Struthio camelus: one gene and its partners. The protein of the gene in region 4 interacts with the protein of the main gene of each other region in a pairwise test. Links are inferred from orthologs where the notes say so. Each region holds a gene or a part of one and is shown on either strand. Other genes may lie near its edges. The genes, in order: SUCLA2, SHMT2, ACSF2 and ARL6IP1.

What was found.
Region 1: the proteins of ARL6IP1 (region 4) and SUCLA2 interact in binary tests that used the Homo sapiens proteins (3 or more experiments, as listed by UniProt). The two-hybrid records come from large-scale screens. The link is inferred for Struthio camelus from reciprocal best matches to the Homo sapiens genes ARL6IP1 and SUCLA2.
Region 2: the proteins of ARL6IP1 (region 4) and SHMT2 interact in binary tests that used the Homo sapiens proteins (3 or more experiments, as listed by UniProt). The two-hybrid records come from large-scale screens. The link is inferred for Struthio camelus from reciprocal best matches to the Homo sapiens genes ARL6IP1 and SHMT2.
Region 3: the proteins of ARL6IP1 (region 4) and ACSF2 interact in binary tests that used the Homo sapiens proteins (3 or more experiments, as listed by UniProt). The two-hybrid records come from large-scale screens. The link is inferred for Struthio camelus from reciprocal best matches to the Homo sapiens genes ARL6IP1 and ACSF2.

What each region holds. Positions count from the first base shown.
Region 1 is NC_090942.1:192,086,122-192,093,963, reverse strand, and holds the start of SUCLA2 (succinate--CoA ligase [ADP-forming] subunit beta, mitochondrial), read left to right. Parts: upstream 1-4,828; 5' UTR 4,829-4,987; coding exon 4,988-5,077; intron 5,078-6,871; coding exon 6,872-7,055; intron 7,056-7,842. UniProt on the Homo sapiens protein: ATP-specific succinyl-CoA synthetase functions in the citric acid cycle (TCA), coupling the hydrolysis of succinyl-CoA to the synthesis of ATP and thus represents the only step of substrate-level phosphorylation in the TCA.
Region 2 is NC_090969.1:174,287-181,197, reverse strand, and holds the start of SHMT2 (serine hydroxymethyltransferase, mitochondrial), read left to right. Parts: upstream 1-3,896; 5' UTR 3,897-3,966; coding exon 3,967-3,990; intron 3,991-4,586; coding exon 4,587-4,787; intron 4,788-4,878; coding exon 4,879-4,958; intron 4,959-5,211; coding exon 5,212-5,412; intron 5,413-5,515; coding exon 5,516-5,597; intron 5,598-5,894; coding exon 5,895-6,017; intron 6,018-6,180; coding exon 6,181-6,320; intron 6,321-6,609; coding exon 6,610-6,775; intron 6,776-6,852; coding exon 6,853-6,911. Other genes in the region: NXPH4 (neurexophilin-4), read left to right, coding at 1,532-2,296. UniProt on the Homo sapiens protein: Catalyzes the cleavage of serine to glycine accompanied with the production of 5,10-methylenetetrahydrofolate, an essential intermediate for purine biosynthesis.
Region 3 is NC_090960.1:7,767,406-7,775,134, reverse strand, and holds the start of ACSF2 (medium-chain acyl-CoA ligase ACSF2, mitochondrial), read left to right. Parts: upstream 1-4,714; 5' UTR 4,715-4,719; coding exon 4,720-4,802; intron 4,803-7,729. Other genes in the region: LRRC59 (leucine-rich repeat-containing protein 59), read right to left, coding at 1-125, 661-720, 1,124-1,240. UniProt on the Homo sapiens protein: Acyl-CoA synthases catalyze the initial reaction in fatty acid metabolism, by forming a thioester with CoA. Has some preference toward medium-chain substrates. Plays a role in adipocyte differentiation.
Region 4 is NC_090956.1:10,492,323-10,499,860, forward strand, and holds the start of ARL6IP1 (ADP-ribosylation factor-like protein 6-interacting protein 1), read left to right. Parts: upstream 1-4,531; 5' UTR 4,532-4,613; coding exon 4,614-4,649; intron 4,650-6,795; coding exon 6,796-6,929; intron 6,930-7,538. UniProt on the Homo sapiens protein: Positively regulates SLC1A1/EAAC1-mediated glutamate transport by increasing its affinity for glutamate in a PKC activity-dependent manner.

The DNA of each region.
Region 1 (7,842 bases), on a different chromosome or scaffold from region 4:
ATAACAATCTGCCACCTGCAGCTGAAACTGTTCCACAGACAATCCTTCTACTTAAGAAAGAGTTTCCAAAGTAATAAGTAATTTTACCTTTGCCTATGCCCTGACCTTACCTTTATTATAAATTTATGTTCTGCATAGTTCTCCACAATCCTGGCTTCATATTAAACTCCAAACAGTGTTTTTTCATTATCTTTTTTTATTGGATTTTGAGAGCTGTAAGATTTTCTGCACTGCCTAGATCCTTATCACAGAACAGAAAATCCTTGCTTTTAATATTGTAGTTTAGAAAGGGCCTAGCTGAGCAAAAATAAAAGTTGAGTCTTATAACCTTCACTGACTATCATGAACTACTGCACTTTTTTGAGACTAGAATTTTCTTTTTTATAGTAGTGCTAGAATTAACATTAGTGCTGGTTCCATTAAGAGTACCCTTTTTCATCGAGATATACTCCTGTCCCTACAGCGGTCACAATCTTTACAGTGGCTCATAGAGAATAATGGTGTGCATATGCAAGAGCAGTAAAGTAACAAGGACAAATTGGAGCCATGCTGTGTCGAGGGAAGGTGTGTTCATTGCTTGTCCATTATTTCTTTGCTCTGGTGTGAACAGATAAGACTGTGTCATCAGAACGACTGTAGGTGGTGAGACAGCTCCCTGTTTAATTTCCAGCTCTGCCACTAGCTTTTAAGTGACCTTGGGCAACTCATAGGCTGGCAAAGATGGATTGCTTCCCAGCCTCTATAAACCTCCTGTGTGTACTCAATTCCAGGGCACTTAGGAACAGAAGAATATGAAAACAGCTATAGTAGTTCAGGACAAAAATCCGTCTAGGTCAGTGCCTTGTGATCAAAAGTGGAGAAAGTAATAGGCAAGAAAACATGATGTAGCTCTTGACTACTCTCCTATCCTCTAACTATTTGTGTCTCAGTGACTTCTCAAGGCAAGTATGGTGTCTGTGTATTCACTAACTCTCGTTTGATTTCTCTTCTTTGAACTTATTAAGACTCCTCTTGGGCCCATGTAAACTTCCATGATTTGCAGGAGGTCTGCAAGGCACTTTACAGCCTAACTATACACTGCATGAAGAATCACCTCCTTTTGCTTGCTTTGACCCTTTCACCTACTAGCCTCCCTTGATGTTTCCTGCTTCTTGTATTGGCAGAGATGGTGAGCTGGTGCTTAATGTTTGCATTGTCTCCTGTAGACAATTGTGCTCATCCAGACCTCAGACTGCTTACAAAGGCCTGTTGCAAGGACAGGTGAAAATGACAGAATCCTTTTAGGGAAGACTCGAGCGTCTTCAAGGAAGGACACTGGATTGTCTTTTCTATATGACAGTCATTGCAAGGACGGGTAGAATAACTGGAACCTGCTCAGAGGGAGTTGGAGGCCCCTGTCTGCTGACCTGCCCTGCCATCTAGGGAAGTTTGCTGCTTGCTAGGAGCTTGCTTTCAGGATGTTGTGGAGAGGTTTCTGAGGCTTATCCTGCCCTCCGACTATTGCCCTCTGCTACTCTTCCATGTGAGCACCAACGATACAACCAGGGGAGACCTGAAAAGTATCAAATATGGCTACATGGCTCTGGGGGTAATGGTCAAGGGCATGGGGGCCAGGTGATGTTCTCCTCAGTCCTGTCAGTGAGGGGGAAGGGTCTGAGGAGGGTGCAACAGATCTTACAGGTCAACAATTGCTTGCATAGCTGGTTTTGCATAGAAACCAAGATTTCCGTTTCTATGACCATGGGGTCCTCTTCAAGCACAGACAACTGTACATAAGCGGAAGGGACCTCTTAATCAACAAAAGAAGACTAAACTAGAATCACCTCAATGTATGTAAATAAGGAAGTGCCTATGATCTCATTGGGATCATAGAGACATCGTGGGATAGCTCACATGACTGGAATGCTGTGATGGATGGATACAGGCTCTTTCAGAGGAGGGGGAGTTGCCCTGTGCATGGGAGTGCAAGGAGGTCTGCCTGGGGATGGTTGAGGGGCTAGCTCAGAGCTTATGGGTCAGGATTAGCAGGCAGACCAGCATGAGTGAATACTCTGGCTGCAAGACCTGCTCTGTAAAGGAACGTAGACACCACTGCAGGATTTTCTCCCTTTGCTTCAGGTCAGTTTTTTCCCCCTGACCTTGGCTGGTCTTGCAGCTAAACCAGTTTATTCACCTACCATGCTAAGAAAGTGAGCTCCTTCTTCCTATCTCCCTTGAACTAAAGGGATCTTAGAAACACAGTACAGCTTCATCCACAGTTGTTGGGATGCTTTTGAAGGCCCTATTCAATCCCTCCTTTCATTCTTGGAAATTTTCTGCCCTCTAAACTCATGGCCTTAGCAAAGGCTTTGGCTTTCTCACATAGATGACCTCCTTGGCAAGACCCACTGTCATAATGTTTTTCCACTTAAACGGTGCCTGGTGGGGCTTACGAGGTGGATGGTGTTTCTATGAAGGGAAGCATGTCAGAGTGTACCAGTTTTTCACGGCAGACATAGTAAATCCATAATAAAGCAAATGCATATCTAGTTCGTAACACCTGAGCCTCTGGGATGATTTATTTGGTTTCAGACAGCTGGACCTCTGTTAAAACTTCTGTGTTCCTTCTGCTTTATTTGCATCTTGGATTTTCCCTTCTTCTTTATAGATTTCAATGCATCTTCAGAAAGGGCTTATGAAGGCCTTAGTCCTGTGTTAAAAATCCTTGTTCTTTCTGAGTTTAGCAAGAAATCTCAACATTTTAAACTTAGAATAAGAAGGAAGGAATCTATATTTAAATGTTTCTGGGGATGTGGCCAAATATATGGATACCTATCACAATCCTACAATACATTCACCTGTCCTGAAATTGTACATTCTCCATGGGTGTGGGCCAGGTATTGAACTTGGCTGAGCCTGTGCAAATCTGAGTTACTTTAACTGGAGTTACTAGCAATTCACCTGGTCGTACTCAAGATCATTATCTTTCCCTATTTCTCTAAGGAAGCAAAGAAAAGGTGGATTTGTAATTTCCAAGAACTGATGTTTTTATGGTTTGAACTGCCTAACTCCAGACCACCTTGTACTGGCGGTCTGGCCCAGATGGTGGCACTGGTGATCAGGCAGAAAGCAAAGACACAAATTCTTGCATTCTTAGAACAAATCCTGGTTAGACTAGATCTGACAGCTAACAAGGAAAAAAGACAGTGCGATGTCCAAATAGTTGGAGCTCTCCATGCGGCTGTTTATCATACTATGGAAAATGGCAGCAGCTGCCATGACCTTTATAGAAATCCTGTAATATTGTAAGAAAATGTAACGTTTCTTCTTCTGATGTACGAGACAAAACCCTTATTTTCATCTTAAAGCAACGTAACTGGAAAAATAAGTTCACTGTACGTCCCTAGTGAAAATAATAACGTACTTCATATAGGTAGTTATTGTACTCTGAGTGTCTTGTAACTTTTTAAAGGTAAGTACGAAGTACCAGCTCGGTGAGATTTGTCTGACTTTCTTGCAGCAGCAAAGGAGTCAGGACGTAAGCCCAGTTTCCTGATCTCCAGTCTCCATAGCTCTGTAGCTCTGGGTGGCCCTCTTTATGTTTTAAGTTTTGCCAAAGTCTGTTCCACTGTCTTTGCAACTTTGTTTCATTGTTACCTAGGCTTTCTTTTTATTTCCAGGAGGGGGAGCCATTTTGGAGAGTCTCCGGATGCGAGATTCCTAGTACGAGTTGTGAAATTTCCTGGAGCTTATAGGAGGGAATGACATATAAGCGCTACCCTGTGAGAGAGCCACTGGCAAGCCTGGTGTTCTGAGAAGAGCCACGTTGTGTACAGCCGAGAGGTGTTTTGGCATAGAAAGAGCACGAAGTTGGAATGGTGGTGGTTGTTTTTTTTTTTTCTGGCACAGAGAAGTTGTTTACCAAGGAAATGTCTCAGATTTTACCAGCTACAGTGGGAAATTTTGGAGGGTCTATCAAAATTTTGCATTTATTGCAGGTTCAATAAATGTGCTCATACCAGGAATGTCTGAACAGAGCGGGTGGATATCTAAGCGCTCTACCGAGTTCGCTGCAATCTTAACAAATAATGACATATCCAAGCATATCCAAGACAGCGGGGGACCAGAAGCAAAATAACTGAACTATAGTTACCATATCTTTTCCAGCACTTGCCTAATGGAAAGCTATTGTAGCACGCTTTCAGTTTCAGAACAAAAAATGTAACCTAACCAGTTGTTGGGTGATTCCAATTACAACACCCGTTAAAATTACAACTTCTGCATTGCTTTCCTTAAGATTAGATCTAGCTTTAAAATTCATTATGTGTATAAATAACTGCATTATTCCTGCTTATTTACTGTCAGTAGAGAAGTTTTCTCATTCTGGCTTCCCAGGCCACTAGTTTGCCTTAAATAATGTTTTCTTTTAAAGAAAAAGCATTGTTTCCTTGTGAGTCACAAACTTATTCCCTAGGTTCTGCGGAGAGTTCTGTCTTCTGCATTAGCGTGTTAGTGAAATGACTCAAGGTCACCGGGGTAAATATATGCACGCTGATTTGCAAAAGCGGACACACACCTTTAAGCTGTGTGAGGCAGAAATTATTTTTTGGCACCATTGTACCAAGACCGGGGGGAGTAAACATGGTTTTCAAAATAATAGTTATGTATTAAAAAATTGGGTCTTCAGTTTAGCCGTTGATTTGTTTGATTTATTGTATGAAGACACCCTAAAATATGGGGGGGGGGGAAGGAGTGTTTTCAGAGTAAACACGGTCACCCCCATGTCCCCTCCCCATCCCCGCTGTCTGCCGCAGTCCTCCCCGCCAGGGGGCAGCACGGCCGCCGAGGCGGACCATAGAGTCCCCACCCCGGGCGGTTGTTATTGAGGAAAGGAGCGGCACGAGCGCTTCCTCCTCCGCCCCGTTCGCGTTCCCTCTGCTCCCGCCACCTTCTCGATGATAGCGCATGCGCGCTGAGAGGGGCAGCTGAGGGCGAAGGGGGCTCAGCCATGGCGGCCTCCATGATCTGCAGCCGGGTGTCGGCCGGGCTCAGGGGCAACGGCCTCCGCGCCGCCGCGCTGGGCACCGCCACGGCGAAGGTAGCGGGCGCTCGGGAGCGGCGGGGAGACGGGGCGGGGCGGGGTGGAGCGGGAGAGGAGGGCGGGAGCGGGGCCGGCGGGGCCGGGCCGGGCCGGGCCGGGCCGCCGTTGGGGTCGCCGCCGGTGAGGGGTGGCGGGGAGCGGCCGTTGGGGGCGGCTCGCCGCGCTCCCGCCGCCGCCCTGCCGCGGCGCAGGGCTGGCTGCCCGCTCCTTCCCCTCCCCTCCCTGCTGCCGTCCGTCCATCCGTCCGTCTTTGATCTACGTGCCCCCGCTGCTGCCCCGTGCTGGCTTGCGGCAGGTCTTCCCCGGGTGGTTCCCGTTTCCTTCCCCCCCCCCCCTTTTTTTTTTTTCCTAACTTATTTTAAATTCCCGATATTTCTATCTCTGCCGTCACGCGAGTCACACGCGAAACCGGGGTGTGCCAGTAAACGCACTTCTCCCAGCTCGCCTCTGCCTAGCAGTCCTCTTGGTCTTGGCCTGGTCTTGTTTCCCGTGAATCCTTCTTCGGAGTGTGGTCTCGTTCTTGGCTACAGCACCCGTGGCAAATAATACAAGAGAGCTAGTGAGTCTAAAGCGTATAACCCTCTGTGCGACTCTCTCCACCTTGCCCCTACGGCAGGGGAGGAAGGTCACTGTGAGTTGCCTTCTCGTGTTACGCTGCAGTCTTTGAGGGCTCGGCCAGTCAGTCAGCTCCAGAAACAGCAGCTACAGCAGTCAGCACCTCTCGTTTGGGTTTGATGCCAAGAAAAGAGCCTGCTGCTTGCAGAAGGAATCCTTCGGAGGTTAAATAGGTTCTGATGATTTGCTAGCCTGAAATGCCATAGTAAGGATCTTGTGTTGTCTGCATACTTATTATATTTAAAATGAAATAAAATCTAGTCTACTAGAAATTTGCTAGTAGAGATTGATTTTTTTTTTTGGTGATCCTCCTACCCAATAATATTTTTTTTAATCAGAGATAAAGCCTTACTTGTATTCAGGTCTGTTTTATACTCTTTATACCTTTAATCTTTCGGCTCTAATCAGTGTAGAAAAATTGGTTGAATTCAATAAGTTTAATGTTTTGTATATATGTAAAGTTAAGTCATATTCTTTTACAATGAAATATAAAATGCCACACAGATCTGTGACTGTTGTGGTTGGTAATTTTTTTGTTATGAAATACAGTTACTTTACAAAGTATGTTTTGGAAATCTCTCTCTTAAAGTCCATGAGCAGTTGTTCTTTTAAGAGGCATTGTGCATATAGTACTATAGTATGTTCTGGTGTTTTATAATCAAAATTGATTTCTCCTTGGATTTGCTCTACACGAAGTACCCAGTCAAAAATTCTGACAGTCCTGTACATCAGTTTTGTAGAAGAAGTTAACAATCACTTATTCCACACTGGAGTTTCCTGGACTGAATATTTGGCATGTTTTCTTTTACTTAGTATTTGAATTCTTCTGTTCTCTTATGCTTCTGCACTTGCTGAAGATTTTTTTCCCTATAGATATATTCATTGAAGTACTCAAATAGTAACTAAACACTCAAGGGTGTGTTAACCCTGCCAGCTCTTGCTGCTGCTAGCAACTGCCCCAGCTCTGCCCCAGCGAAAACATAGACCTAACGTGAATGACTAACGTGGAAGGATAATGTACAAGAAACATAGGACTAAGTGTTCAGATGTTTGCGCTGGTACACTAAACTGTACTTGTTTAATACATAGACTTTTTTTTTTTTTTAATCTAAAGAAAGAGAATGATTTGTTTAAAATACAATCATGGTGTTTGATTCTTTTCTTTCCCCCCTTCAGGTACTTGGTGGAAGTCCAGGAATACTCAATAATCATGGGTTTCAAGTGCAACAGCAGCAACAAAGGAGGCTGTCACTACATGAATACTTGAGCATGGGACTGTTGCAGGAGGCTGGCATTTCTGTTCCACATGGAGTAGTTGCAAGGACACCAGAAGAAGCTTACAGCATAGCAAAAGAAATAGGTATTATACTAAAGAGAACATATACAATATAGGTATGGGAGTTGATACAAGGTGTGACTACTTTTTATGTCTTTCCTGGTAAGACGTTTCTTGGAGTTCTGAATATACCTTCTGTTAAAGAGAGCCTTCCCTGTGCATAAACTGCCTTGCACATCTGAGTATTTACATACTGACATTTTCCTAATCTGAAGTATTCTAACGCCTAAGATAGCACAGTGCACAAGCAAACAATGAAATCAGTTAAGCAACCTAGGTGTAAGTGCACTCTTCGTTTTGCATCGAGAATGGCTTATCAGCTCTTCTCCATCCCTGATGGTCAGGTTGGGAGACACTTGACCCTCCTTCCAGAGAAGGATGTGAAGATATATTAGAGGCACCGTCATTCCCATACCCCAAACTTTGCAAATGCTTTTTCTGTAACTTTTGATTCTTGTTTAGAAGGAATGTATTCTGAGAGAATGGGGCGAGTATAAATTGTTCTATGTACCAAGACTTCTTTGAGATGTGTAATGCGCTTTAGTTTGGGCAAATCCTACATTTGCCATCTCAGGCTAGATTACAGGAAATCTTGTGTGACTAGTTTCAATGGTGGTGGTAGGTAAGGCCTCTCTAGTCCAGAACTCCCACAGATCAGAGGATGCAAAGGATACCTACGTTTACACTGCAGAAGGACAAAATCCTTTTGTTTTGTGAATGTGCTGTCCTGGCAGAGTACAACTCCCCTCTTGCAGGAGGGAAGAACTTTGGCTTGTAGTTATATGCTAAATTCCTGATTTGCTGATGAAAA
Region 2 (6,911 bases), on a different chromosome or scaffold from region 4:
GGCTCAGCGGGGGTGAGCACCGGTGCCCTGCGGCTAGGCAGGCTCCTAGGGTGCTGCTCTGTCTTCTGTAGGGTGCACGGCCCCGTGCGCTGATGGCATGAGACCTGACGGGCTCACTGCAGAAATGGCCAGCTGGAGCCATGCCCGGCTCCTCCCTCCAGCCCCACCGGGTTGGCGGGTTGGAGTCAGCACTGAAGTGCTTCTCCCCTGGGGCACAACCCCACCGGCGCCTCCGCTCCACGCCCTCCGCGTGTCCCCGCCGTGCCCGGACGGACGCCTGCCGGCTCGGGACGGCGTTGGCGGCCGGGGCCGGGAGCAGCTGCGGGGGGGGCCCGGCCGGGCAGGCAGGTGGGGGCCGCGTCCGCCGGGGCTGGAGAGGCGCCTGTTGGCCCTGCGCACCACTGCCAGCTTGCCTGGTGCCTGTCCTGGCAGTGGGACCGGCCAAACCTCCTCCTGGAGGGGCCGTGGGGCCGGGCCGCTGCTGCCTGCCTCCGGCTACCGCCGCTTGCCTCTGCCTGCCGCTGGCTCCAGTCCAGGGGCCCCCGGGCCGCCCTGCCGGTGCAGGGGCTTTGCGGTTGTCTAGCGCTCGCGTCCCCCTTTGCCACCCGCCTTTTCTGCTTTCGCGGCTAATTCCCTGCCCCGGCAGCAGGTGGGAAGCGCCCCCAGACTCCCGCCTCCCAGCAGAGCGAGGGTCTCCGCTTCGCCTCGTGCACGCCCTGCGCAAGCAACGCAGCCTGCGCTGCAGCTGCCCCGGTGCAATTACCCGGCAGGGAGGAGCGGCTGCCGTGCAGCCTGGCGGGGGCTCTGTAATTTCAGCTGCAGATCAGAGGCGCTGCGTAATGCAATTAGGCTTCCCTGGCAGGCGGCGCGGGGCTCGCCTGCCTCCCCCTTGCCCTCGCCTCTCCGCACAAGCTTCCCCCAGCCCCGGCATTTCAAAAGGCCTTGGATGTGGCGGGGCAGGCAGTAATGAACTGCCCGCTGTCCTGCCTCTCCCTGTCACGGGGACGGGCGCTGCTGCAGCCCCGGCACGCGGACGTGGGGAGGGCCCGGCCAGGGCTGCACAGGGACGGGCGGGCGGCCGGGGCAGGGCGACGCAGCGCTTGGACGCAGGCATGGCTGGGGCGCCGCGGGCAGGAGGCGTGCATGGGTGCAGGGGGCAGAGCAGGCAGGAGGGCTGGGTGGACGCCGGAGCGCGCAGGTCCCAGAGGCGGGCACGGGCGCAGGAGGGGGGCATAAGTGCGGGAGGGATGTGTAACTGCAGGAGCACACAGGTCCGAGAGGCGCGCTCGGGTGCAGAGAGTCGCGTGGTGGGTGCGAGGGGTGCATGCAGGCAGGAGTGCACAGCTCCAAGAGGAGGTGCATGGGCACGTGGGCACAGGAGCAGTGCGTGGATGCAGCGGGGGGCATGGTGGGTGCAAGGGCTCTGCAGGCGCAGGAGGGGGCACGAGCGCAGGTGGGGCCGGGGGGCCGGGCAGGCTGAGTGCAGGGGTGACGGGCACAGGCTCGCGCAGCCTCTGCCATCTCCCCCCAGATGGTTTGTGCCGAGGGCCACATCACCAAGAGCCTGGGCTACCTGGAGCTGGGCACCTCTGGCCTCCTCAAGGACGTGCCCTACGGCAGCCTGAAGCCCCCCATGCTGGAGCCCGGGCGGCTGATGCCAGGTGAGCTGCTACAGGGTGCGGGGCAGCCCGCCGGAGCCGCGCATGGCCCCTGGGACTGGCAGAGGAACCAGACGGCCGGTGGGGTGCCGAGCCCCCGGGCCCGGCGCAAGCCCTCGCTCAAGGCCGCCCGCGCCAAGAAGATCTTCGGCTGGGGCGACTTCTACTTCAACATCAAGACACTGAAGTTCAGCCTGCTGGTGACAGGGAAGATTGTGGACCACATCAACGGCACCTTCAGCGTCTACTTCCGCCACAACTCCTCCAGCCTGGGCAACGTCTCGGTGAGCATCGTGCCACCCTCCAAGGCGGTGGGCTTCGAGGTGCTGGTGCCCGCACCCGCTGCGCTCCCGCACCCGCCGCCCCCGCAGAGCACCCTGCCCCAGGGCCGCCCCAAGGCCCTCAACTGCCACGTGGAGTACGAGAAGACCAACCGGGCGCGCAAGAACAAGCCCTGCCTCTACGACCCCTCCAAGGTGTGCTTCACCGAGCACACGCAGAGCCACGCCGCCTGGCTCTGCGCCAAGCCCTTCAAGGTCATCTGCATCTTCATCTCCTTCCTCAGCATCGACTACAAGCTGGTCCAGAAGGTCTGCCCCGACTACAACTTCCAGCACGACAACCCCTACTTCGGCTGACGGCCCCGGGCAGGGGGGGTGGTGAGGCCATGCCGGTGTCCCGGAGCGGGCTCGCGCACCCGGCCCTGCAGCGGGGTGGGGGGGGGGGGGTGGCAGGCAGGGGTGACCGTGGGCACCGGGCTGGCGGCAGGTTTTGGCTTGTGATGGGGGGGGAGGGGGTGGGCGCTGGCATGTGGCCATGCTCACAGCTGGCTGCAGCTGGGGGGGGGAATGCAGCTGTATCCTGTTTTTGCAGCTGTATGAGGTCTGCATGTGTGTGCACATGTGGATGCATGTGTGCACACTCTAGTGCACCCCTCTGTGTGTGCATGCCCATGTACACACTTCCATGTGCCCGGATGCACGCGTGCACACCTGTATGCACCCTTATGTGTTTGCATGTGCAGCCACACATGTGCATGCCAGTCAGGGTGCCTGTGCGCGTGTGGACACCCGTCCCGGGTATTTTGGAGCTTTTCCCCAGCCCCCTCTGCCTCCCCTTGGCGGGGAGCACCCAGGCCGGGGGGAACATCGGGCACCAGACCAACTCTTGGAGATTCCCCCTCTGCCACCTGGGGAGAAAACAGCCCAAATTTGCAGTCTCCCGCCCAGATTTGCCCCCTGCTTGCCGACCCCGGCCGAGCCAACCCCGCGGTGAAGAGGGACGTGCCTGGGGCTGGGGCTCGGGGCTCGGCACGTACAAGCCCCTGCTCTCACCCAGCTCTGGGCAGACTTCTTCATATTTTTTTAAGAAAATCAAAATGAAAAAGTGGAAAATTAAAAAACAATTAAAAAAAATTGGAAAGCTTGCTGAGGAGTGTGCTGATGCCGAAGGCCATGATGGCCAGCACGGTGACACCGACGGTGCCTGCCGCCCATGGTGACGGACGCCTGGCAGGTGTCCGCAGCCGGCGCGAGGCCGGATTCCTGGGAGCCCGGGTGCCATTGCCCTGCCAGGGCTGGGCGTTGTGCAGCGCCTGGCACGGCCAGGCTGGGCCAGGCCGGGGGGCAGCCCCACCGGCGGGGTGCCGGGTGCTGCGGGTGGGGGGCGGCGGTGCAGACAGTGGGGTGCAGGGAGGAGATGGATGGAGTGCAGGGGATGGGGTGCAGGGAGGGGATGGATGGGGTGTTGGGGTGCTGGGGATGGGGTGCTGGGGATGGGGTGCAGGGAGGGGATGGATTGGGTGCAAGGCTGCATGGACGGATGGGGCACAGGGGTTGGGGTGCAAAGATGCAGGGGACGAAGTGCAGGGGATGAACGGGTGGGGGTGCAGGGGATGGGGGTGCAGGGAGGGGGTGGATGGGGTGCAAGGCTGCATGGACGGATGGGGCGCAGGGGTTGGGCTGCAGAGACGCAGGGGACGGAGTGCAGGGGATGGATGGCTGGGGGTACAGGGGTGCAGACGGTGGGGTGCAGGGGACAGGCTGCAGGGATGGAGGGGTGCAGGGACGCAGGGGATGGGGTGCAGGGGACATACAGATGGATGACGGACGGACGGACGGACGGACGGACGCAGCGCCCGCTGCCGCCGGGGGCGAGACCTCCAGCTTCCCGACGGGCCCCGCGCTCCCGCCCCGCCCCGGTCCCGCCCCCGGCAGCGCTCGCGCGGCGTCGGCGGGGCCGGACCGGACCGGACCGGGACCGGGGCCGGGGCCGGGACCCGGCGGGGCCGCGCGGAGCTCGCAGCGCCATGTGGCCGCTCCGCCTGGGCAGGGTGAGTCGGAGCCGGCACCGGTACCGGGGGGCGCGGGGCCGGGGCTGGAGTCGGGCCGGACCGGGCCGGACTGGACCGGGCCGAGCGGGGCGGCCCCGCAGCCCGTCCCGTCCCGCCGGGAGCTCCCGCGGTGCCGGTGCCGGTGCCGGTGCCGGCCGGGCTCGAGCCGCGCTGCCGGGCCGCCCCCGCCCCCCCCTCCCCCTCCGCGCCCCCCGCAGACTTTGCCTGGTCCCAAAGTCCCTTTGGCAGCGGCGGGGGGGGCCGGGCCGGCACCGGGGCTGCCCTCGCCCCCCCCCCCCCCACCGGCGGATGATGCAACGGGGCGGCCGCGCTTGCATCAGGCGGGCCCGGCCCGCTCCGCCCCGGCGCCCCCCAGCCCCGGGCGGGGGAGGCCCCGGCGCTGCCCCCGGGACCGGCGGCCGCAGCCTGGGGCGGGGCCAAGGGCCGCTGCCTGGCTGCAGCCGCCGGCGGGCAGGTGCCCCCGGGAGCCCGGGCGGGGGGCAGCGCCCGGCGGCTGGAGCGGGGGGCGCCCGGGGGGTACCCGGGGGGCGGCAGGGGGGGCGGCGCAGCCTGCCAAACGCGGCTCTCCCGGGCAGGCCCTGTGGCGATGCAGCCCGGCGGGTGCCGGCGGCCTGCGGGCGCAGCACAGCGGTGTCCCCGCCGCCGCCGCCGCGGCTGGAAGCGCGCCTGGCTGGACGGGGCAGGAGAGCCTGGCAGAGAGCGACCCCGAGATGTGGGCCCTGGTCCAGAAGGAGAAAGATCGGCAGTGCCGGGGGCTGGAGCTCATTGCCTCTGAGGTGGGGCACGGAGCGGAGCGCTGGTGGTCCTGGGGCGGCCCCTGCTCAGGTGGGGGCTGAGCATGCCCTGTATGACCCGCTTTTCCCCCAGAATTTCTGCAGCCGGGCGGCGCTGGAAGCCCTGGGCTCCTGCCTCAACAACAAATACTCAGAGGGGTACCCTGGCAAGAGGTAACGGAGGGTGGAGGGATGTGGGGTCTGGGCTTGGCTGGGCAGCTCCTGGGGGACGGAAGGCAGCAAGGGCGCTAGAGGGGCATCAGCAGCCTTCTGGCAGCCTGCGTCCCACTACATCAAAGACGAAGGGGAGCGGCAGGACACCAGGTGTGTTTCAGAGCAGGGCTGTCCCCTCCGCTGTGGTCACCTGTGGGGCACAGGCAGCTCCCTGGGTGGGAAGCACCCCATTACCTGCTCCCTTCTTCTCCAGGTACTATGGGGGAGCTGAGGTAGTGGACCAGATTGAGCTGCTCTGCGAGCAGCGGGCGCTGGAGGCGTTCGGCCTGGACCCAGCCCACTGGGGAGTGAACGTTCAGCCCTACTCGGGCTCTCCAGCCAACTTTGCTGCCTACACAGCCCTGCTGCAGCCCCATGACCGCCTCATGGGGCTGGACCTGCCCGACGGGGGCCAGTACGTACTGCACATGGGGCGGCCTGGGGGCCTGCCACCTTTTGGGGTGAGCACCTGCTCCAGGGCCCAATGTGATCCTGCATATCCATCCGTTCCTCCACAGCCTCACGCACGGGTACATGTCGGACATCAAGAGGATCTCAGCCACGTCCATTTTCTTTGAGTCAATGCCCTACAAACTTGACGTGAGTTGAGGGGGGGCAGACTTTCCCGGGGAAAGGGGGGATCTCCTAGCCGAACCCCCTGTCTCAGCAGGGGCCTTTTGGGTGCCTCAGTGCAGGCGCTGCCACTCCACCATCTCCTCTGCCTCCTTCCCACCCACTCGGTGCGAACCGTAGCCGTGTGTCGCAGGATGCTTGGGAACCCTGGTGGTTCAGCCCTGCCATGGCCCCAAACGCTCTCTGCTCAGAGCTGGGCAGTTGGGAGGTTTCTGTGCCCCAGCAAGTTGCCAGCTCTGGTCTTGGTCCGTCTGTCCTTCGCAGCCAGCCACAGGGCTGATCGACTACGACCAGCTGGAGAAAACGGCGCGGCTCTTTCGTCCTCGTCTCCTCATCGCCGGCACCAGTGCGTATGCCCGCCTCATTGACTACGCTCGCATGAAGAAGGTATGGGGGAGCCCAGCTCTCTTCTCCCCCAGCCCTGTCTGGGGGTGCCGGGGAACTCCTGTGGCTGGTGCGAGGCTGATCGCATCCTGTCCTTGGCTGTGGGGTGGGGCGGGGTGGAGGGATAGGGGGTGTCTATGACTGCCTGATGCCCTGTGTGCCCCAGGTGTGCGAGGAGGTGAAGGCGTACCTGCTGGCAGACATGGCACACATCAGCGGGCTGGTCGCAGCCAAGGTCATTCCTTCGCCCTTCGAATACGCCGACTTGGTCACTAGCACCACCCACAAGACCCTGCGTGGCGCCAGGTGAGGATGCGTTCTGCCTCGCTCTCCAAGCGGGAAGATGCCTGTTCACAGGCAGGGTGGTTGCAGGGGGGTGTAGAAGCAGTGCTTTTATTTCATGGGCTGGCTATGGGGCAGACCCCCAACCCAGTCCTGGGACAGAAGGGATAATGCCCTGGGAGTCCCTGAGGAGGGCTGGTAGCTGTCTAGGTCACTGCCCCTTGGAGGGGCTGAGTCCTCTGCTACTGGCTTCATGGGGGCTGAGCAGACACAAGGGTGGAGCAGTGCCTGTGAACGCTCTCTTCACCAACAGGTCAGGACTGATCTTCTATCGCAAGGGCGTGCGCTCGGTAGACAAGAAGACGGGCAAGGAGATGCACTATGACCTGGAGGACAGGATCAACTTTGCTGTCTTCCCTTCCCTGCAAGGAGGACCACACAACCATGCTATTGCTGCAGTGGCTGTGGCCCTCAAACAGGTGTGTGTAGGGGGGCACTGGGCTCGGGGTTAGGGAGGTGACGTGGGTGCCCCTGTTGACGTAGTCTGTCCTCCCAGGCCAGCTCACCTGCTTTCCACCAGTACTGCCAGCAGGTACTGAAGAACGCCAAAGCCAT
Region 3 (7,729 bases), on a different chromosome or scaffold from region 4:
AAACGGTTGTTCAGAAGGTCCAAGTGCTGCAGATTGACCAGGCGGCCAAAGTCCAAGGGCAGTTGTTGAAGCCGATTTTTACTCAAATCCAGTTTCACCAGATGCATCAAACTACAGAAGTCCGACTAAAACCGAGACACACACACACACACAAAAGTAGAAGCAGCTTGGCATCACCTTTACAAAGGAACCCCAGCTGAGAGTGTGTCGAAATATCCTTCACCTTATGTGATAAAGCCATAATCCTTAACACAAAACTGTGTGATGGAGGAAAATCACCCTCTTCCTCTGCCTTGGAAGACAGAGGTAGAAAACAGTGGGACACCCCTGTTTCCTAGACAAGGTGATATGCCGCAATATATCTGAAACAAAACTGAGCCTCTATTGCTGATGAAAGTGGTTTGTAAAGTTGCAGGGATCCTTTGGCAGGGAAAAGGATCTTCAGCTTTTTCTCTCTTATTGCATTATGCCTGCCTCAGTAAAAACTACCATTAATACTAACCCTTAATTGATGGTTTTGTCATTCAGCCAACCCAGGAATGAGAGAAGTGCTAGTTCTAAACCTCCTACTGAATCTCTATTGAAGGACTTTGTTTTTTTTTTAAATATTATTTCCTAACAGATTTGCCTCATCTCCACAAAGGCTCCCTAGCATCTTACCGGCAGAGAAATTAGGTTATTACAGGACAAATCCAATATAGTAGCTTTCGGAAGGGCAGCCTGAAAGAGAAACAAAGAATTAGATCAAGCTATATATATATGTATATATGTGTATGTATGTATACACAACAGTGACGTTCTAGCATGCTGGTTTTGTTTTGTTTTCTTCCACGCCAGTTTGCGAACTCCTCAGCAGTTGCCACCGAGATGACGTTTCATCTTAATTAAGCCCTGGTTCACAATTCTGGTTTTAAAAGATACTGCTTCGGAAATGGAGCAGACGCTGAGGCTACGCATCTAGCTCGCAGAGCCCGAACACCCTCGTCTCGGGTATTTTAAATGCCTGCAGGCCAGGTGACGAACAACTGCCGCTGCGGTGCGCAGCTCGTTCGCTGCAGCGGGAGACGCTAGCGGCGCCTCTTGAGGCGCGGAGCGGCGGCCGCGGCCGCGGGCGGATGCTCACCAGCTCGCGGACCGGCACCTCGCTCAGGTCGCACAGGCTCAGGTCCAGCTCGTTGCCGTCCAGCTTGTCCTTCAGGTTCACCCCCTTGGCGGCGCCGCCGCCGCCGCCGCGCGCCATGGCGCCCCCCCGCCCTCCGCGGCACCGGGGGCCGGGCAGGCGGCTGCCGCGGGCGGAGGAGGGCAGCGCGGCGCGGCCCCGCCGCCGCTCCCCGCCAGCCACTTCCGCGTCCACGTCCGCGCTCGGCCCGCCAGCGCCGACGAGCCGCCCCGCGCCCAGAGGGGCGCCGCGCCGCGCCGCGCCTCGCCGCGCAGCGCGCCCCCTGCCGGCCCGGAGCGGCCCGCCGCCGGGCTCGGCGGCCCCGGCCCATCGCTCCTCCCGACGCAGGCAGCCGCTGCACCTCTCCTGGTTCCTGCCCTACTCGCTCGGTGATTGCAAGGTCATCGTCTGACCAGTGGCCTTCTCTTTGAAACGTTTGAAACTGAGCAGCGTGCTCTAGGTGACGCTGCTTGAGCAGGGGGGCTGGACTAGATGATCTCCAGAGGTCCCTTCCGACCTCGGCCGTTCTGTGATTCATATGCAGAGAATAAATAAGATGTCTCACTGCTACCCCACAGGCTGGTCAGATTTACACCTTGTCATTTCACCGTTCACACTATGTCCCATGAAAAACTAAGCCTTTAACGAGCAGTAATCCCAATATGAACACAAAACCCAATTCATGCATGCTTTCTTTACAAATACTAGACATTGTTGCTTCCTGCTCTTCATAGCCTCCATAATTACTGAGTGCTGGACTGGCTTTTTGTTGGCTTATACCAAGATGTCTCTCTTTACCAGGAGGAATTTGCAGTAATGTTCCTGCTTTGATCTGGAAGCTCGGATACAGCACAATCAAAGTGTTCTTTCACCTTGACTGACCCACTGTTGAGAAAGTCAGTGAAAGAGAAAAGCAGGCTGAGGGAGAGCCAAATTAATATTACCCAGTAATGGGATTGCAGTGAATGCTAACCTTGAATTTTTTGACCCCTATGCAAAATGTGATGCACTGGACCTTGCAAAGATGTTTCTAACTAGTTCAGCACATCTACCCCATGGATACTTTTGAGTAGGGTTTTTAAGCTGTCGCTAGGTGTCTTAACAATGCTGAGATAATCAAGATCTCTGGAGTCTCTGAGCAAAGGCACCACAAAATAGCAAACAAGGATCTGCCACAGAGTCTAATAAAGGCTGCCTAAGATCAATGCACTCTCATTCAGGAGATTAGAGAAGTTGCTAGGAGCAGGTTATTGTGCCTCCCACCGGTGACTGAAATTGCAGAACTCACACTTGAGAAAAGCGAGGTCTAGTTATGCAAGAATCTCTCTCTTCCCTCAGCTTTTCAAAACAAGGTTTGAAAGGCCAGAGGAAGACTTGAGCCAGGGACCGGTGGGGAAATCTCGCATTTCCAGATCTCCCACCATGGGCACCCAAGTGAGGCAGTCAATTGCCTCACTCCCATGTTAGTCAATGTGGGACTCACATGTCCCCTGCCTCCTCCTCAACCTGATAGGCACCATGGCCGTCTTAGCAGGGGCATACACAGTCCTGCTCCTGAGGGCAAAACTCGCAGGCGTTTTGAGGAGACCTGAGGCAGATCTTGTACCTGTATAGAGAAGGCCTTTGTATGTGGAATGCTGCAGATGACTGGGAACGTCTGAAATCTAGACCCTTGTAACTTCTGCATAATTCTTGGTTTAATATGTATCTGGGATTCACCCCATAGGCTAATCCTCTAAATGTGGGAAGATCAAACTGAAACTCAGCTTTATTTTTGTTTATTAAAGGTGGGGGTTTTGGATCACTTTTTTTTTTTTTTCTTCTCGTCTGTGGTTATACAACACCGAGCACACTTTGATGCTGTTGCAATACAAATAAATGTAATTGCACTGTGCTTCGCCGAAATAGTGAAGGGATGACTTTTGGCCATGAACGTCAGATGGCCTTACATCATTTACACAAATCCATAAACTCTCCTATCTGTTGATTTTAGTGGGACTGGCACATGTCAATATATTTACCTGGGCATGTCTAAAAAGTCTTAGAACCTACATGAGACAGAGAAATCAGGGCATATTTGTTCACTTTGCAGGAGGAAGGATGGAGGGAGAAGTAGGGAGAGGAATTGCTGAATGAAGCTGGATGAACACTGTCAATCTAATTTTTGGCCCTGAGTGCCTGAGAAGATTCCCAGACTCTCTTCACAGCGCTGACCTGCCTTGCCCAGTGTCCCATGTGCAGCCATGGCCAATTTTTCACTCTTCAAAGTCAAAAATCTCCCTTCCCCCAACCAAATAGAACGCTATCACGGCTGCCACCAAACAAACTCATCTTGCCTTGTGAACAAGATATGTGTCAGGGGAAAATCCCTCCCGATTCTAAAACCAACTATCTGAACCGTGAGGTTCGGTTATGCAGTCAGCATTTTACTGTGTGGCTGTTATTTATAAGCGTATTTTTGGCTTTGATGTCAGGGATACACCAATTCTGAGGCCAAAATTGATATCCTTGTTCATAAGCTCCATTGTAATAGTCATGGGATAGACACACTGTAAAGTGTCTCTCTGCTGAATTCTAGCTTCCACCTAGGCAGACCGAATTAAAAAGAGCAAAGAGCTGCAAAATAACTAGCCAAAGATCACATTGCAAGGTCAGTAAAGGAGCCAGAAACAGAGCCCGCATTCAGGCTAGCGCCCAGCTGCTAAAACTCCTTAGTGAATGCTTCTATGGTATTTAAAAGGTGTACACTGTTTTCTGAGATCCACTTTATCCCCCGGCCCTTTCATGGGAATTAATTAGCTTTTTGCCATGGTTGCAGGCAATGCTGGGAAAGGGTGCCTGTCATTTCACACTCAGAACAACGCGTGCGTCACCCGTTGTCCCTCAGTGTCAGCGCTGCTGCATCGGAGGCAGCGCTGCTCCTGCGCCTGGGTGCTCGAGGGAGCTGAGCGCCGCAGCGCTCCTCGGCCGGGCGCCTGCTCCTGCCCTTCCCGCGGGTGAGGGCAGCTCAGCCTGCCCCACTGGGGAGAAGGTGTGCAGGTCCCAGCTGGCCTCTCCTCTCACCAGAGCAGCCCGCTGGGAGAAGGCAGAGTTTGAGGCTGTTAGGTGGTACCCGCGCTGGTGAAGTGGATGGGGCTCAGGACTCCCAGGGGCTCAGGCATCAGGCGATGAAGATGAAGGAAAGCAGAGGGGACGGGTGCTGGCCGCCTGGACAGCGAGCCCGTTTCATTCCTCACGCCGAGGTCCGCGTCAGCCAGGCTCACAGGGTTCATTCGGGCCACACGGAAAGGCCCTGGCTGGGGTGCAGCATCTGGGGCTAGGCAGAAAAAGGCTGCTGGGGCAGCCCGGAAAAATAAAAGGAGTTAGCGGCAGGGACGGCCGGCGGGGCGCGGGGCCGGGCTCGCAGGAGCCCCGCGCCCCCTGCCGCCCGGGGGCGAGCGCGGGCCGAGGCGGGCCGCGGCGCGCACCGCCCCCGCCGCCCGCCGCCGCTGCGCCGTATAGGGCGGCGCGGGGAGCCGGCCGGGCCCGCTGTCGCCGCCGCCGCCGCCGCCGCCGCCCGCATGGCCGCCGCGGCCCGCCTCGCTGCGCTGCCCCGCCGCCGGCTGCCCCTGCTGCGCGGGCCGCGGGGCGCCCGGCCCGGCAGGTAGGGCCGGGGCGCTGGGCGCTGGGCGAGGCGGCGGCTGCGGGGAGCGAGGGAAGGGGGACTCTGGGGACAGGGGGAGGGGGCTGTGGGGAGTGGAGGCTGTGCGTGGTGGGACGGGGGGCTGGCGGCGATGGGACGGGGAGCTATGGGGGCAGAGGCTGTGGGTAACCGGGGATGGAGGGCTATGGGGAGTGGAGGCTGTGTGTGGTGGGATGGGGGGCTATGGGGAGTGGAGGCTGTGTGTGGTGGGATGGGGGGCTATGGGGAGTGGAGGCTGTGTGTGGTGGGACGGGGGGCTATGGGGAGTGGAGGCTGTGGTGGGATGGGGGGCTATGGGGAGTGAAGGCTGTGTGTGGTGGGATGGGGGGCTATGGGGAGTGAAGGCTGTGTGTGGTGGGATGGGGGGCTATGGGGAGTGGAGGCTGTGTGTGGTGGGACGGGAGGCTGTGGGTAACCAGGGATGGGGGGCTATGGGGAGTGGAGGCTGTGTGTGGTGGGATGGGGGGCTATGGGGAGTGGAGGCTGTGTGTGGTGGGATGGGGGGCTATGGGGAGTGAAGGCTGTGTGTGGTGGGATGGGGGGCTATGGGGAGTGAAGGCTGTGTGTGGTGGGACGGGGGGCTATGGGGAGTGGAGGCTGTGTGTGGTGGGATGGGAGGCTGTGGGTAACCAGGGATGGGGGGCTATGGGGAGTGGAGGCTGTGCGTGGTGGGATGGGCTATAGGGGACAGAGTCTGTGGGGACAGGGGATGGGGGGCTCTGGGGACAAGGGATGGGGGACTATGGGGAATGACAGAGAAACCATGTGTGATGGGATGGGGGGGCTGTGGGGACAGGAGACAGAAGGCTGTGGGTGACTGGGGGTGGGGAGCTATAGGGCCTGGGGGTCTATAGGGCAGGTTCAGAGTGATGTGGGTACCCAGCCAGGTGAGTGCCACGTGCAAACAGGCCAAAAACAGCTCAGGGGTGCTAGAGGTTTCACTCTTTGCATGCTTTGCTGCCTCTTGGCTCCCATAAGATCCTTCCAAAGTGGCAAGAGACAGGCTGCATCCCTTGGTCTGACCCCCAGGCCTGGTGGGGCAGGGACCAGGGTCAGGGACAGTTCCTGTGCAGCATGCAAAGAGGACATGGACATGTGTCCTGGGCTGAACTTTCCTCGTGTGACAGCTTAATCTCAACGGCAGTCATGTGAAATCGCATATCAAATAGCTTTTCCATCCCCCTTTGCCGCTCCGACTTATGGCCTTCTCCTAGCATTGTCACTGCCGTTGTGGCCATGCAGAGGCTCCCTGGGGTGCAGCTGGTGGTTGGGTGACGTGGGGCACTGGGGTGGGAGCAGGTCTCAGCCACTGAGGAGCTGCAGAGCGCTGGGGTTTGGGGGATCCAGCCAGTTCTTTGCCTTGCCTTTGTTCAACATGGCCTCCTGGGAGAAGGTGGTGGGAAAGGACAGTAGCAGAAAAATGCCTGAGTTGGGATGGGAGAGGCTTTGGAGGATTAACTGGCATTCCAGATAACTCTGTCCAGGGAGGTTTGGTTTCCAGGGAGTAACTCTGCCAAGAGCTGTAAGGAGCAAATCTTGCTTTTCACATGCAGCATCTAGGTGCTTGTTTTCAGCTGGGGTTGAGATGAGGAGTGAAGTGGTTGGTGCCCATGTGGAGCCAAGACTGCAGGCCCAAAATCTGTTCTTATGAAACTGTATCAAGAGGCAAGGCGGTAAATTCATTGTAGTTTGGACTGCAGCCCAGAACTGTAAAAAACTGAGGAGCAGGAACACAAAGTATTTGCATTAAAAAAATCAAATGTGGGGGCAGGGCACGCTAAACTCTTGCTCTTTCTAGTAACAAAAATGTTTCTTAAATTCTGCTCTTAGCAGCAAGCAATTCATCCTTTTGGCAGGAGGAGTACAGAAGGGAAAGGGGCTTAGTGGAAAAAAAATGAAAAAGTCAACTGGAATCCAGCATTTGAAAGCTCTGTTAAAGCTCTGGGAAATCTACCATTCCTCAATCCAAAGCAAAAAAAAAAAAATATCTATATATATATATATATAAAATCAAAATCTGGTTAAGTCTTTCCTACAAAAGGTTGCTCTAAAGAGTAAAGAAGAGGTAGAGATAGAGCTAACAGGGTTAATTTCTGCCACCCTTTTATTGCAGTTTTTCCAGTCCGCTAGGACCACTCTCTCCAGTCTCCTCTTGTTTTTTGGCAGCCACATTGGGGGGAAATGGGCCAGACCAAATTTTTTACCTATTAGTAGCTGTTCCCTTGGGCCTGAGTCCCCAGAGGAGCTGTGCAGGACATGAAATGCTTCTGTTTCCTTGCTCCCAATGCAGCAAAGCGCTGAGTGTGATCTCAGCGTCACTTGGGGAAAGTGCTCTTTTGCAACTAGGCCAGCAGTTGCTCTCTGAGTGCTCTAGCCTCTCCTTCCCTCCTCAAGACCTGTAGTGAACTCAGCGTGGAAGGAAGCAGAGACTTTTTTTCTCTTCCTGAGCTGGTGGATGGGGAGAAACGTGCGGTACTTAGGGACAGATTCTGCTTCCTCTGCAACTGGTGGTGACTTGACCTTTGCTTTGGAGAGGTGAGAATGTGCCACTCTCAGTGGAGCATCTTTGCAAAGTTGGTGGCATTGCCAGTTTCCTCAGCTGCCTTGGCACTGAGTGCTGCTGTGAGTGACTGGAACTGCTTCTCCAGAGCCTCCCTCCCCACAGCCTTTGGACAGTGGCTTGTCTGGTCACAATTTCAAATAGCGTAGGGTGTGGCAGTGAAAGACTGCAGTGTTTTTTGTGGCTTTCCCAGGAGCATTGTTCCTTGTCTTGGATTAGCGAGAGTTTTGCAACCTTTAACAAAGGCTTTTCTTCTGCAGAGCCTTGTTTCATCTCCTAGTTTACTTATGTGCCCTGCCCAGAAGCTTTCACACAATAAAAGATAATT
Region 4 (7,538 bases):
CTGATTGTCTGATTAACTCCAGAGAAGTCACAGGCTTTATATTTAATGATACTCGTGCAAATGCATTCCACTGTCATTGCTTCCTGAACCCTCTGCCATGCCATGTATTGCAAGAAAGAAGGTGTTTGAATGTTGCAGTGAAGAACATTCATGTGCAGAACAAGACACTTTACACTGTTGGTCCTTTTTACTTTTTCTCCAGTTAAAAATAACCTTATGAACAATCTGTTTGGAGTACCATAGTAATAAGAGTGTATTATACATGCTGTTTTATTTCTTGGAAGTTGGGGGAAGGGAGGGGTAATGCACTCACCTGTGGCTCATGTATTATACCTCTGCTGTCCAGAAATGAAACACTTGTGTGGAGATGGGTTCTTTACTGCATAATTTAATAAAGTTTTAAAAAAAAATTGTATTCATAATTTTCCTTTTATGCAAAACTGTTGGTGGTTTTGAAAATTATGAGGAAGAATAAAAGGCCTAGTACATAAATCCCAGATTAGGACTGGATTCTGCAGAATTAAGTGTGTAATGTTAAGGAGACAGCTTACCTGTTCAGGAGTTTGTGGGACTGTCAGCTTTTATGTGTTGAAGTCAAAAACACATTTTTCTTTCAGTCTTTGTTAAACCTAAAATAGAGTTCTGAAGCAGGTTTTGTGCATGCGTGTTGCATGTTAAAGACGACTGTTCTTTACAAATCTCTTTCCTGTAAAGACATAAAGTTACTTTATTTCAGTAAAACTGAGACATCAACTTTGTTGCTGCAACAAAACCTAGAATAATGCAAATCTAGAATCAAAATCTTCGTACACACACGTAAATCAACTGAAGTAATAGAAGCTGAACTGTTCAGCTGATGGCAGTGTTTTTGCATGATGCTCACCTGCAGTGAATTTTAACCAAGGGATCATGCTATAAATGAATTCCTTGCAGTCAAATTTGAAGTGGGTGCAGCAGTTTTAAGTTGCTGCCTCCTTTCAACTGTATAGTCTAATGGCTGAGATATTCTTCGCCTTCTGGGACTCCAGTTACTAGTTTGTCTATCTTCCCACTCCCCTTCTCTAAAATCAGGGTAGAAGCACTGCTTTACCTAATAGGTTATTGCAGTGTGTTTAGGCCTAAGCAAATGAGTCTTCAGTGGCATGTCAGGTTAGTTTAACTCAAGTTGAAATCGTAGCAAATACTTACAGTAATGGAATTTTTAGTGCTTTGCAGTACTTTTTTCATGATCTGTTTCTTTCCTTCTTAACATCCAATTTTGCATTCGGTGATTATTCTTTTTAAAATGTTTTCGTCTGTAATTTTTCAAATATCTGTAACAAACTCAAGTCTGTTATATAAATCAGAGTTTTGAGACATTGCAGGTGGAGAAAAACATTTTTCATTTTTGACTGGAGAAGGCTTTGAATTGGGTTTCTGTAGAATCATTGGTGAGACTTAGTGCTATGTCGTCTTGCCTGGGAAACAAGCATGCTTCATTGTGCAGACTCCACAGTGGGAATCACAGTGACCGTGAACGCAGCCCCTGCAATAACCACATAGCTGTCTGCTTTCTATTCAAAGCAGTTAACAAAGGATAAATACGTTATCTGCTTTGAGATCTCTCAAGGAAAAGCACCATATACAAATGTTATGCCAAAAATACTGGAGGGGATTGAAGAGTTAAAGCTTAATTTTTGTAAACATTGTGGTCCTGAAGATCCATTTCCTTTCGTCAGTGTACTGTACCTAGTACATTTGGCCTTGCTGTTTTAGCACGCTCAGGTGCTTCAAAAGTTTATTTGCCTGCCCCTCCCCTTTTTTGGCAAGCTTTTTCTGAATTAGCAGGCATGCCCCTCTATGGATTAAATATCATTCTAGGAAAAAACATTTAAGATGAACTGCCATTCATCTAGCTTTTGCTTTCTTAAACACATGGGTACGCAAGTATCATATGCAGTTTATATTTTTTCTTTAGTGGAAAATACCTATTCAGGAGTGCACTATTAGCATTTTAGTGAAATATCATTTTTTTTAAGAAATTTAGATAAATGTTAAATATTAAATTACTTTTGTGTGTACCTAAGTGTGTAGCTAATCAGATCATTTTTTCACTTCTATCCGGCTTTGTCTTTTTGTTGATAGCATAAGGGAAAAACATTTTTAGATGCATTTATTATGTTTTTCCATGTGATGAAGGGGTGATGAAGGGGTGAGCAAGTCTGAAGCTTGCTGCAAACTGTGTGTGAGAATGTCAGTGTATGAACAGTGCCTCTACCTTGCAGCACTATCTGCATGATATGTAGAAGCATATAGGAAACAACTGGTTTTCTATTAGTTCAGGTAACGTGTGGGAAGTGAAGAACAGACTTGCCTGACTGGGTTTCCACACTCTGAGCTACTGATAGCGCTGTATCCTAGTCCTGTATTAGGACTAGGAGTTTTAACAAATGTTGTATTTATATTTATACACATACATGTATGCACACACATGCACCTGTTTTTTGGATTTGCATCGTGCTTCATGGCCTGGCTGTTCACACAGGAGAGCACTGAGCGGCCTGGCAGAGCCTGATGTTCTTGCGTTCTCTGCTCTAGGGCACGAGCCCGAACTGATGCTCTTCCTGGACAGCGAGGATGTCCTGGGAGACCCACTCTGCCCTTCCCCCTCCCCACCCCAGGTGCAGAAGAGCACTTACGCAAGGGAGGGAGACCTGTGTGGGTCCACTGGGTCAGGAGAAAAGCTGGAGCTGTAGTCTCATTTGGGAACTGGCATTTGAAAGACCACCTGGGAGATCAATGAATCTGGCGGTGGGGATGGAGATGATAGAAAACATCTGCTTTTTTTATTGATGACTGCTGTGTTTTTGTGGTGAAAATCATCCAACTAGATGAAAGTAGGAGCTGGCTGGCTGGCCCTACTGAGGACGCTGCGACAATAACAGCATGGTCACGAGTAGAAGCGCAGTGCGTTGCTTTCTCAAAAGACTTTCATCAGAATTGGTGCTGACACCACTTTCTTATGAAATTATTTTTTGTTTGAGGCTTGCTGTAGTGCAATAATGGATTTTGAGGGTGGAACCCAACGTTTCTGAGGTAAGAGCAAAACTATACACAAAGATATTCTCAGCTTTTAGGAACGGCAAGTAAATTAATTTGAAAGTTGTTCAGTAAAGTATCTATTCCTTATAGTGCTCTTCAAAGTCATTCAAGATTCTGGAAGATCAAAGACAGGTGAAAGCTAGCACTGTCCCCTTTCTGCTCTGTGTCAAGTTCGTGAATCGAGGTGAAGAGGTGGAAGAAGAGTAATGCAGGTTTTTTGTTTGGTTGGTTGTTTTTTTTTTTGCCCCTCGCTTTGGAGTTGCGTTACATCCTAGCGGCTGTGATTAAGCTCATAAATGTGTCAGTCATGCATGTATTAGGACATTGAGTCGGGAAAAAAAAAAAAAAAAAACAACCCTAGTGCATTTCTCCCATGTCTATTCCTGTGCTACTACAGCTTATGAAAAAATTAAAGCAAGTTGTTAGACTCCTGGTGGTAATTATGGTGCCTAGGTCAGTTGTGGTTTTCAGACCTAGTGCAACTTCCAGGGAGCTATGGGTTATTTCATCTGCTTCCTGTGTGGTAATCTTGAAGGCATCTCTTGCAACTGGATTTAGCTTTCTTAGAGGTGACATACTGGTTGTTTCACATTAGTCAAAGGCAATCAGTTTAAATATATATGCTATTAAAGACATGCCAACTTTCTTAAAGTTTCTGTTAGTGAGATCTTCTGGTGACATTTCTGACATTTCAGCTGCAGCAGGGTACTTAGTAGTCTTGAAACATTCTGGACGTTTTCAGTACTATTCTTAAGACATGCTATATATGACAAGCAAAGGTAACATTTTAAAAAAGCACATTGAGAAGCCTTTTACTTAATACCTTCTGATAATCCCGTTTTTATGTTATAGGGCTAAGACTTTTAAAAATAAAAACAGATTCCCTTTGAAGGTCTTAAGGGGACAGGGATTAAGACGGCTAAATAAAACGTCTGCTTAACACATTGCACGTGCCTCTACCATGAAATCAGTGTGGTGTGTACTGAGCCCAGACAATTATTTTTTGACTAAGCAGCATTAACAACACTGCAGTTACGTCTCAGATGTTGACTGCGCTTTTGCTGGGTTGCCGTCCCCAGGACGCCTCTGGCCCTTGAGCAGCTTCCTCGCTTTCCAGCGTGCTGCCCAGCGCCTGGGAGGGCGCAGGCCCCCGGCACCCTGCACCGCTCTGGACCGGCTCCGCCGGGCCCAGGCGCCGCCGCCGCCCCTGCGGCGGCCGGGCCGTTAACGGCCGCTCCTGTCGCAGTCGCACTGCGACGGAGGGGGGGGTGGGGGAGGGGCGGATGCCGCAGGCTGATTGGTTGAGTCTCTCTATTCAAATTCCCACCGGCCAACCGGCCGTCGGTGAGACCCGGCCGGCGCTCTGGGATTGGCTCGCGCTGCGTTTCGAGCCGGCCAATCGCGATGTCGGGCAGAGCTGCCGCGGTCTGACGGGAGGTGGGGGCGGGGAAGGGGACCGCGGCTATAAGAGGCGGCGGCCGCCGCGGCGCCGCGGGGCGCGGTCGGGGGCGGCGGCGCGAGGGCGGCGCAAGATGGCGGAGGGCGACAATAAGAGCAGCAACCAGCTGGTGAGGGGCCGCGCTCCTTCCCGGGGCCGGCGGGGTGTTGCGGTGGCGGCGCCGGGCCATCAACCCCCGCCGGTGGCGAGGCCGCTGGCTGGGGAAGGGCCTCGGTGGGCCCGGAGTGGCCTCTCCGCGCCGCGGCCTGGCTGGCGGCCGCGCTCGGCCCTGCCGGGGGAGAGGGTCGGGGAGGCCGGGCCGGGCCTGGCCGGGCCTGGCCGCGGCGGCCGCCGCCTTAGCGGTGTGAGCTCCGCGCTCGCCTTGCCGCTGCCGTGCGTGGATGGACTCGGGCCTGGCGGAGCCTGAGTTCGACTAGGGCAGCTCTGCGCCGCGCTTAGAAACGGCACTGCTGCTGCTGTGCTGCTCCCAGCCTCGTAATAATGCCTCGCTTTACCTGATGTGCAAGGCTTACGTTTAACGTTCATATCTTCATGTTTCGACATACTTTGGCTATGTTTTAGATGTTTAAAAGGTGCAGGAAGATAGTGACAGGAGCTGGATAATTAATGTAACTAAAGCACGTAAAAGGTGGCCTTGGCCAAGGGTGTGACTGTGTCCGTCTCTGTTATGGATGAACAACGGGTGCTGGGGAGACTGCTGTAAAAGCGTGGGGCTGAAGGGGTGAAAGAAAGGAGACTTTTGAGTGGAGTGCCTACTAATGTTTTTTTGAACAGGAAGCTGGACAGTTAGGAGATACTGAGGGAATCAGAACTGATGCTTTCTTTCAGTAGCTTAGAAGTGGAAAGAAACTTTAAATTTCAGAAGGAAAAAGAAACAGATCTATGTTGCCAAAAACATGTTCTATGGTCTAGAGAGATGCCCCCTTCAGAATGGAAGTTCATGTTTCTGGAAACTTAATGTTCTTTGGTTAATGACAAATCACTTTTGGTGGACGTGTTTTGGAATTAAATAGTGTTGCTGTTGACAAAACTGACATAGTAAGTTTTTTCTACCTGGCCCTGTGGGCAAACAAGTTACAGTACTCATAGGCTGACAGAGGCAGACTGCTACTACCAGCTGTGTTATATTCCAAACTGTTTCCCATTAAATTTTCTTTTGACTGTGTTGTTAGTGGCAGACAGCTGGAAGTAATAAAGAAAAACAGTTTGTTGTAAAATGCTTTCTGGAGAAATGCAGCTTTTTTTTTTTTCCATTTTTATGGGGGTTTATATTCTATAAAACATGAAATAGATGTGATAACTCGAAGGCATATCAGGTAGATAGCTATCCACTCTATTTTGTCTGTAAGTGTAGTTTTAAAATAGCTTACAATGGTATTGTATAAGAGAACTGTGCTTTACCATGGTAGCTGCACGCAGCTCTCTCTGTTATCCTGGGAAATGGTGTCAGGTTTCTCATTTGAGGTAAGTGTATCATCCACTGGAGAATTAAACCTGCTGTGACATCTCTGCACGGCAGATGTGCAGATCTTGATGACTTTTAACCTCTTGCTATGTAGGAAATAGTCTGTTCTGTTTGTGGTTACTTGAGTTTTGTAATCTGAGATCTCTTGTCCCGCTGAGGGCAAACTAGTAAATTTGGCACTCCTCGGGCCAGCTGCTCAGCCAGCTTATGCTGGAGCAGATCCAAAAGATATGCTGAGAGCAATTGCATAATGTGATGCCTTTGCTGGTGTAGGAAGGAGTGTAAAGGTCCCCTTGTCACAGTCTTGGGCAACTTGTGGAAACTGAATTGTGGAAAACTGAAATAGACAATTTGGGATATGACATAAGTGCTTTATAGAAGAATACTTTTTGTTAGGCTCTATATTAACAGGTTTTGTAATTCTTTTAAAAAAAAAAGGCTTTGAAGGAGAGGAAGAATGGGAACATGCATATGGTTAAACAATCATTGGAAAATATATATAGCAAAGTGCATAAAGTGAACTGGAGAGTTGCCTCAGTCTTTGTACCAATTAATATACTGAGTTGAGAGTTGCTGCTACTTTGCTGGAGTCTTGACTTTATGCTAAAGTGTCACTGCTACAGTGTCATCATATGGTAGGCAATTTACAACATCATTAGCAATGTAAATACACAGAAGGATTTGTGACTGCAGTCTTTATTTAATATATGCTCTTTAGATACTTCACATACAGGAGCTAGTGTGATATTCTGGTTAGTAATAACAAGTTTTCTTCTCTCTTCTTGTGTAGGCTGCAGAAACTGCTAGCTTAGAAGAGCAATTGCAAGGATGGGGAGAAGTGATTTTGATGACTGATAAAATTCTTCGCTGGGAGAGAGCCTGGTTTCCTCTTGCACTGATGAGTGTTGTTTCCTTCTCTTTCCTGTAAGTAGCTCATGGAGCATAGACCAGCATTGTGCTCTCATGGCTAGTGGCAGAAGTGTTAAGAAAACTACTAAGACGTTTTCTTTAAAAACCTAATGGGAAGCTTTCTTACTCCAAGTTCTGTTCCTTAATGCATGTTAACTTTCTTGAAAAGAAAAAAAGAACTGGGAACAAGAACTAACACCTCTCTCATCCCACTCAGATCTTGTACTTCCTTTCAATGTCTTAGCTATAGACTTCTTAAAAAAAAAAAAAAAAAAAAAAAAAGTGCTGGGGGTGAGGGGAGAGGTGATGTTTTCTGGAAAAGTTTGTCAGGGATGACTGCTGTAGCTTCTTAGCACCTTCAGCTGTATGCTGTTCCCTTTTTTTTATACGTATTTAACCCTCACCCTTTGTATGCTACTTAGTCAGATCTGGTTATCTTCTGTGGCTTTTTTCCCTAAGCCAACAGCAATGCTATTATGGTCTTAAGTTATGACAGAAAGCTTGTTCCCATTGGGCCAACTTCTCTGAAATGTTAGCAATTTTGCACTTTTGGCATGGTGTTTAGGCGGAATTCAGTCATCTTCACACAACTGGTACTTTCAGACTGGCTCTTGCACTCATTAA